2 linked regions of the Saccharomyces cerevisiae S288C genome follow. The protein of the gene in region 2 interacts with the protein of the main gene of each other region in a biochemical or structural test. Each region holds a gene or a part of one and is shown on either strand. Other genes may lie near its edges.

Region 1 (5,388 bases), on a different chromosome or scaffold from region 2:
CAACTCCACGGAACTGGACATTTTACTAGGTGATACTTCTGAAGATTTGAGAAAGAACATCTATGAAGGTGGGTTGAAATCATGGGAGTGCTCTTATGATTTAGTTGATTTGTTGTCAGAGAACGTTGATAGAATAAGCAACGATATCGACGCGGTTGTCGAAATAGGCTGTGGTACGGCACTACCCTCAGAGTTTCTTTTCAGATCTGCTCTTCTACGGAATGATAGAAGTAAAGGTTTAAAGTTTGTTTTGACTGACTATAATGCCAGTGTATTAAGATTAGTTACCATACCGAATTTGGTTATAACATGGGCTAAAACGGTTTTGACAAAGGAACAATGGTACGCCTTACAGAAAGACGAATGTGAAGATATTCCAATAAATAATGAGGAACTGCTTCTTACCTCAAAGCTGTTAGCTGCCTTTTACGACGATGTACAAAGCAGGAATATCAGCGTCACTCTTATATCAGGATCGTGGGGACGTAAATTTAGTAATTTGATCCATGAAGTACTCTCAGGTAGCCAAAAAGTCCTTTCATTATCCTCAGAAACAATTTATCAACCTGACAATTTGCCCGTTATAGCGGAAACAATACTTGACATACACAATTTACCACAAACCGATGTCAAAACTTACGTAGCCGCAAAGGATATTTATTTTGGAGTCGGTGGTAGCATCACTGAATTTGAAGCTTATTTGGACGACAAAATAAACTCCGAACATCTACCAATTCATTCTGAAAGGTTTAAAGTTAACTCTGGCTTAAAAAGGTCGATTATATGCATTGAAACAAATAAAGCTATCCGATAGTTAGTATAATTTGTTTCAACTTCATTTCCTTAAGTTAATCCATAAGTCTTTTACTGTATCTTTTATTTATAACATGGATGAAAATAGAAAAGAAATATAGAAGTAAAAATTAAAGTAACTGTTCAATATACATAATATAATTGGAAAGCAAAAATGCAACCAACAAAAATATACAGTTTCTTTTTATCATTGATTCCCTTTTAGCCTTATTTGCTAATTCTGGCTTTCATGATTTGTAAGAATTCTCTGTAACTTTCGTTATTCAAAATCTTATCCTCCACTAAGGTGCTAGAAGCCCATAGTCTTAGCGTTGCAACTTCCCTAGCAGATGCATGGTTAACGGGCTCGCTCAAAGAGGCACCCCTAACAATATACAATGATTGGTAAGTGATGACATCATCATGGTTTCTCAATTGGTTGATAATGTTTCTTACTCTTTGATTGAATTCAGAATTTTCAACAACAGGTATTTCCTGTTTGCCAATTGGAATGTCAAAGATATCCTGTGTTCCAAACACATCGAATACTAGCGCTGGTACAGCGTCACCACCCATCCACAAAAACAATTCGTTACCATTATCTATCAAGTATAGACCGTATCTTTCAAACAACGAAGAGGTAGCATTGATTGGTTGAGGCAAAACAATTGTGCCAGTAGCTTCACCATCTTCAGTTTGCACTGGTAACCCAGCCTCATCAGCCATATCATGCAGCGAATAAACATCAGGGTAGATGTTTTTGATTAGATATTTCAAAGGTAATGATTCTAAGTTGTTCAAGGCCGAGGCGCGATGGTCACTTGGGACAATACCAGATCTAAATGCCATATGCTTAGTTAAAGAATGCATTAACAATGGGAACATTCTCAAATTGGCACATAACCTCAATGGGGCCCCCCCTGCAGTGTTGGACACCACTATTTCCTTCTTGTACGTGGCTAAGATATCTTGCACGGATTTGTTGATCAATACTCTTGCATCGTCCAAACTGGAATTCAATGCTTTCTCCACCGCCTTCGAGTTGTAAAACGACGCTATAGCTAATTGGTCAGCAGATGCGTAGACTTCTGCCAACGATTCCGTGGTTGGCATAGCCAATGTTATAATTCTTATTCTACGTTGACTATTATTCAGAGATAAAAGTACCGCTACTTGAACATAACAATAGTCAGCCATAATGGATTCATCAACGTTAACTTCGAATAAGTATGATTGATCTCTTGGCATGGTGGAAAATGCACATAAATCAGATGATCTATTGAAGAAGTGACCATAGAATCTACTCATTCTCAAACCTGTGGAACCACGGGCTCTCATTACGGTTTCCATACAGAAATCCATGGAAATGTGCTTGGCAAACTCAGTGGAAAATTTGACAATATCATTTGGGTTCTTGCCTGAAAAACCAGGATAGAAATGCGTTTGACCAGCAGTGAAACGACTCAAATTCGATAGTGATGCAACGTCCATATAATCTTCAGAAGCCAAAAATAAATCGACAGTAATCTGTACTTTAGAACAATCGATGGTGAAATTCTTATAAAATGAGTCTTGACAGGAAAGTAGTTGTGCAGTTTCCTTGGATGTATTAACAACACCACTTTCATTTCTCCTTTGTAATTTTCCTATGCCTAAGTTGGGCAAAGTACCTGACACAACAATTATTTTACCACCAACGCCACCAATTAAATGATAAGCGGATTTCAAAGCGGGGCCCAGTGCGAAATTTGTGATTAAATTAGATTGGAAGATTTGAGGAATCTTGGTCAATAAAGTTTCAATGTTTTGTCTGCAGGCCTTTAAGGACACAACCATAGAGTTTGGTCTGGGCAAGAAAGGCTCTTCCAGGTCGGCAATATCCATCATGTTGATTTGATCGGCGGACTCTTCATTGTTTTCAGAATCCAATGGGATTTTAAAGTAGTGAATGGCGTTGTCTACACATAAGATGGAAATTCTGGTTCTTTCATCATGGTTTGGAATGGAATCAAGATTTTGCAAAAGGGTGTTGATGGTAGTGGCCAGTAACCCACTCTTGATAGAGGACTGGGAGACATCGATCAGGAAACAGTAAGTGGCTGGAGGTGGTTGTCTTAGAGTATATTCCTTTGGGGCCATATATTCCATCACAGCACATTTGATTTCATTTCTGTCGTATCTACTCTTTGGGTCGTTTGGATCGCTCTGGTCCATTTGCATAGGAACGTCATTGGCCAGACGACAAAAGTTACATCTCCATCTTCTGCCTTGCTCGATAAAAGTGACAAAAGGGTTCATGTAAGAACGACAACGACGACAACGGACAATAAGTCCATCTTCATTCAATGGAGGCGGGTCGATATCGTCGTACAAGTGTTGGTATGGTCTGATAACAAGCCCAAATGGAAGTTTAGACTTCTTCAGCAGGGAGCTGTTCTTAGGAACGGCGTTCAAGGTCGACCTGATATAATCTGGAGACGCATTGGACAATTCAGAAGGAACTAACATCCTTTCTGGAGGAATAACCAACGGTGGGGGAGGCAAGGTCAGATCGGTAATTGGAGGAGGCAATTCCGTCAACAGATCGATTGGATACAACTGGTTCATGGGCCTCATGTTTTGGCCCATTGCGGCGCTAGGTTGGCCATACGCAGGCGCTGCCATTGGTTGTTGCTGTTGCTGCAAAGGTGTGCCCATTTGCACGGGAACCTGTGGCTGCATATAAGCGTTAGGATCGACTAGCGGTACGTTGTGCAGATGCATATCGTTCATGGAAGTGGTGGCCTGATCAATTTGCTGGTGTAACTGTTCTTGAGCAGGGGTTAGGAATTGTTGCTGCCCCATGGAAGGGACTGCACCCTGTGGCGGCATTCCCATCTGACCATAGCTCATTCCAGCTGCAGCAGGATCCTGCGGAGGCATGAATTGTGCTGGCTGTTGTAGAGGGGTGGCATTTTGTCCATACTGGAGCTGAGCTTGTGGGTAAACACGTTTCTTGTGATGAGACATTTTGCAGATGGTCTCAGACTTATATATTTATGTCTGTTTCAATGCGGCAAAAATGGACCTGAGTGCCAGATAAAACCTTTTTGTAGTGCTATTTTTGGCCTGTTTCCTGATGTACCATCCTCCTTACATAGTTTTGTTTTTCTTCGTTTTCGTTCTTCCAGTTTTCATTTTCTTCTGCCGTAAATGGAAAAAACAAGAAAAAAAAAAAGAGAACAGCTAAGCGTTAACAAATCTGCTCCAGTGGCCATGTCCAAGACTGTTTTTCAAGCCCAGATAGTGCCTGAATAGACTGCATTAAGCTGAAAAACTTATAGCAGTGGTTAGTGCAAAATGCACACTTGTCAGTGCTATGTATATTTGTGACACGATTCTATCACCCAAACATAGCACTAATTACTTTTTTGTTACCCGGCATTCTAGGCGGAAATTTGCTGAAATTTTCCATCAATTAATTACGTAACCTATTCTTTTAAGAGCATGATGTTGTATATAAATATAGATCACCTTAGGAACAGTCAGGCTTTCTTAGGTTTCAGAAGTTCATGTGTCTTGGCGCAGTCAATTCTCTCGATCTTTTTTTGGTTTGGACGTTTAAGAGTAGCGGTCGCCGGAAAATAGAGAGAAAAAGGAAATTTAAAAGGAGTTCTTCTTTCTTCTTATTATTAGATCGTATACAGTAAAAAAAAAAAAAGGAAGTAGTAGTTCGAAGAGAAAGAAATAAATGGTAGGCTCGAAGGATATTGATCTATTCAACCTGAGAGAGAACGAGCAAATCGTTTCTCCTTGTCTTATCGTGCACGGAAAATGCAATAAGCAAAATGGTGCGAAGACCGTTCAAGTGCAGCATCCACAATTGCCTCCAATTACTTACCCCATACATAATCAGTTCTTCAAGGCCACTGTGATATTGACTCCTGGTGAGAACAAGTTGACCTTTGTTACAGACACTAACACCGCTAGGACAATCGTATGTTACTACACACCACTGACGCAGAACCCTCCCGTACACCTGTGTCTGATCTTGGCCAAGGATTCGCCTTTACAGTTTGACTCTCCTCGAGAACAGAAGGACAGAGAGGGCGGGAATGGCCTCGAATTGGCAATCAAGAAGCTAAGACTTGGGGCCAGACTCATGCAAGCGTACACGAACGAGCAAATGCTGAGAAACAGTATGGGAAATAGGACGTTTCCCTTTGTTGAAGAATTTACCTGGGACACGCTGTTCGAACGGCCTGCTATGAGAAACACCATCAAAATACATGTAGTTCGTTCGGAAAAGACGGTGAAGGAAATCCAGGACCCTGACATAGCTCAACAGAATTCCAAAGGGAAAAACACCGGCGCCCTTTTTGGGATAGCCATGGACGCCCTTAAAAGTTACGGCGGACCCTTCACCAATAACGAAAAGCCTGTTCAGGCAGCTTGTATGTTTCTAGACACCCACTGGGATGGTAAGTTGATTAGAGGCCACGCCGCATTGGGTGGGGGTGACGACAGCATTAAGCTCGCCATTTTTGGGTCGCACGGGCTTTACTCATGGCCTACTTGTCTCGAGCAATTGGTGCCTTATTTTACTGATGAGACAAG
Region 2 (3,957 bases):
GCATATTATATATAAAAACTCCTGAAAAACACTTACCCAGAGGTACGATAATGAATGACGCTTATGTGATTTATGGTTAACGCAGTACCCAAGACAAGTATGCAGCGTTAACTCCCAATCAAAGAAAATATAGTGGATTCTAATCTGACGAACTACGGACAGTAATTGGTATTTTTACTCATTAGTGACTTTGGTAATGCCCTATATTTCACTAGAAGGTGTCACAGTGTCACAAATTTTACATCACAGTTCCCTTTCGTAAGATCAAGAATATGGCTGACTATAGTGGACATCTTCTTACACCGTATATAGTAATATATTGCTAATATGAGCACTAGTTGATTCTTGTTCCAACAGTATATTCCAAACATGTGTTAATCACGCGTTGATACAATGTGGCTCGGCTACAAATCAGTTATTAACATCGTGAGCTATGTTTCCCTGAAATGGGGACGTTTTCCAACGAATTAGCCTTGTTGGCGCAATCGGTAGCGCGTATGACTCTTAATCATAAGGTTAGGGGTTCGAGCCCCCTACAGGGCTATTCTTTTTTTGTTCTATATGAACAGAGCTATTTCCCTTCTAAGAGTCCCACATAAAAGTGCTCTGGGGAAAAACGGACCACAGCATGTCCTGTGGTACTTGTTTCTTTCAAGTTTTTCGTATGTATTTCCCATTTTTTGATTCGCTACAACCTGTATTTGTTTTATGGCGCGCCTGGACCATATATATGTATATATTTATTTACATGTAATTGGCACAGGGAAAAACAGTGGAAGGATCAAGGTAAAAAGTATGAAACCGAGAATTATTCGCGACTTCAGGTTATCCAATCGTGTATGTAATCGTATGTAGGCAAAAGTAAATAGATATGAACTACATTTTCCTGCTTTACTTAGACTAGAGATGTGACCTCAAAGAATCTTCTCAAGTAGTATATCTGGAAAAGAGAGTTTGCAATAACGACGCCCAATTGGAAGATGGACCACCATTTAACACGATCGTTGGTCGACTCTGCAGTATTTCTATGCGTCCTTTCTCTAATAACAATATAACTTTGTTCGTCCTTGACTTCCCTGGTTAATTTGGACAACTTTCTGACAGCACTATCCAATGTATTGGTGTTTGGGTCGTCCAAATCCACATATACCACCCCATGAATGTTGAAAGTCACGTCTTTTGTCTCGATACCGGTGTTCTCGTTCAAGAAACAGTATTGGAAATGTCCCTTGTATGGAGCAGACAATGTGATTTCACCGTGCGACGTGTCCCTAACCGTTTTCAAAACTTCATGTCTTTCCGGCCCGTAGATGATAAAGTCACCAGTCAGCTGGCTACTGGATTGAGGGTTTCTATCACCGAACTGGAACGAAATGGAGAGCTCGTCACCCTTACTCAAGTCTTCGAAGAAGCATCTACGGCCATAAGCTGGAAGAAGGACATTATGGGCGGACGCCGAGAAGAACAGGAAGCAAGCAATGACAAACTTAGTAGCAAATGAGGCCATCCTTATGCGTGTGTATTTTTGTGCGGAGGGATACTATTAAGATTGCAGTTTCACCAAGTATAGCTTTTTATTTCATTATAAGTTTCGTGTCAAAATGTTTAAGCGACCCGATCTCTCAGGCTGTTTTGCACGACTTTTCTGACTTTCCTCGCGTCTTTTTTCATGAAAATTGGATTACCCGGAGTGATGATTTTCTCACAGTGATTTTTCGTCCCCTTTTACAATAGCAAATGAAGCTGTTTTAGCAATATTTGTAGAAAGATATGTCACAAGAGGGCAGGCAAAATGTCATACGGAAGAGAAGACACTACGATTGAGCCCGACTTCATAGAACCAGATGCACCTTTGGCTGCTTCCGGGGGTGTTGCTGACAACATAGGCGGAACTATGCAGAATTCAGGCAGCAGAGGGACGCTCGACGAGACTGTGCTGCAAACACTAAAGCGAGATGTGGTGGAGATTAATTCCAGACTGAAACAAGTGGTATACCCGCATTTCCCCTCATTCTTTAGCCCCTCTGATGACGGGATAGGGGCGGCTGATAACGACATTTCAGCCAATTGCGACCTGTGGGCGCCCCTTGCGTTTATCATATTGTATTCTCTATTTGTATCGCATGCGCGGTCGCTGTTCTCGAGCCTATTTGTGTCTAGTTGGTTCATTTTGCTGGTGATGGCATTGCATCTGAGACTCACCAAGCCACACCAGAGGGTGTCGCTGATTTCGTACATCTCCATTTCCGGGTATTGCTTATTCCCACAAGTGCTGAATGCCTTAGTCTCGCAGATACTACTTCCATTGGCCTACCATATTGGAAAGCAAAATCGCTGGATTGTGAGGGTCCTGTCGCTCGTGAAACTGGTGGTCATGGCGCTGTGCCTGATGTGGTCTGTGGCCGCCGTTTCGTGGGTTACCAAGAGCAAGACCATTATCGAGATATACCCTCTGGCACTCTGTCTTTTTGGCATGGCCTGGTTGTCAACTATTTTATAACACTAGTTACATATGTATAAAACCCAATATCATGGACATAGAATTGCCTATCTCGCGAGCCACGGCAGAAAGTTCTGAAAAAAAAAAAAAAGAGGACGCTCACAGGGGCTGGCGTGTGGCTAAGGCAGACTCCGTGGAGTGTAAGAGAAGTTCAAAGCAAGATTAGGCTTTCTGATGAATTGGTAGCGCAGAGTCTGGCAAAGTCTATTTCAAGTTCACAGCGTCCGTTTACCACAATTGTTTGAGAACTCTTCTCCTTCCTGTGCCTATAGCCACACTTGCAAACATTACATGGTGAAGGCGCTTTAGAGACTTTTCTGTTTTACTATATATATAAGATAACATAGCGCGCGTGCAAACCAAAGGACAAGTAACAATCTGCACCTGCTTTAGCGTAGTATGCCTTTATTACAACCATCCACTTGCTTCTGCTACCCTTTGAAGCTTCCGCCATTACCACTGACTTCCGATTCCAACGAGTTTGATGAATGCGCCAGGAAAAGGTTAACGCTGGACTATAGAACAGGTTCAGCGGTGACGCTAACAAGGTCTAATATATTTGTACATGGTGGTCTAACCATCCCGTTGAACCTGCCAGTTGTAAATTCTATGCAATTACAAAAGGAGCTTATTCTCTTTTTTGCAAAGGAAAAAAACAACGGTAGTTCTTTTAGGAATTTAAACGAGTGGATAAGTAAGGAGACGTTTTTCTTAGACTTGATGTCTAGAACCTGGTACAGAGTCAAGACCTCCTTTGACCAAAGGACAGAGGAATTATTAAAGGCAGAGAGTTCTAGCGCCAAAGCAGATAATGACACAAACGAGATTAGAACGGACATTAAGAAAGGTAAATCCCTTGAATCTCCGCTCAAGGAGAGGCTATTCCATTCCTTATGTTATTTAGATGGCTGTTTATATATATTTGGTGGTCTCACAGTGTCTCCTCAGAGCGGATATGAGTTGATTGCTACCAATGAGTTGTGGAAACTGGATTTAAACACGAAGAAGTGGTCGCTTTTGAGTGATGACCCTCAAATAGCGAGAAGGTTCAACCATACCATGCATGTAAAGAACGAAAATAACGATAATAGAGACACGAAATTAATAATTGTCGGAGGTCTTAATAACATGGATCAGCCGGTCAAGAAAATAGACATCTATAACATCTCACAGAATTGCTGGCAATCCGAAACCATACCCAAACAACCGATGGAAATCACTACAAATGTCAATGGCATACCATTAGCATTATCAAAGGATCAGAATTTTTCGATTTTAGTTGAAAATAATGAGGCCAACGTTCCAGCGCTGGCATTCTATATGAGAAGTGATCAAATAGACGAATATCTCGGAAAGGATTCATCAAAGATAAAGGAGAATTCGCCTATAGTGGCGTTGCCGCTATTGTCTGAATCGCAAGGTATTAGAATGCCCTCAAACCCGGCATTACCGAAAAA

Evidence for each region.
Region 1: the proteins of EMP24 (region 2) and SEC24 form a complex in vitro, tested with the Saccharomyces cerevisiae proteins (one study listed by BioGRID).

Annotation. Positions count from the first base shown.
Region 1 is NC_001141.2:156,365-161,752, forward strand, and holds SEC24 (COPII subunit SEC24), read right to left. Parts: upstream 3,802-5,388; coding exon 1,021-3,801; downstream 1-1,020. Other genes in the region: HPM1 (protein-histidine N-methyltransferase), read left to right, coding at 1-814; YIL108W (putative metalloendopeptidase), read left to right, coding at 4,523-5,388. UniProt on the Saccharomyces cerevisiae protein: Component of the coat protein complex II (COPII) which promotes the formation of transport vesicles from the endoplasmic reticulum (ER).
Region 2 is NC_001139.9:121,799-125,755, forward strand, and holds EMP24 (Emp24p), read right to left. Parts: upstream 1,508-3,957; coding exon 896-1,507; downstream 1-895. Other genes in the region: YIP4 (Yip4p), read left to right, coding at 1,793-2,500; MDS3 (Mds3p), read left to right, coding at 2,900-3,957. UniProt on the Saccharomyces cerevisiae protein: Constituent of COPII-coated endoplasmic reticulum-derived transport vesicles. Required for efficient transport of a subset of secretory proteins to the Golgi.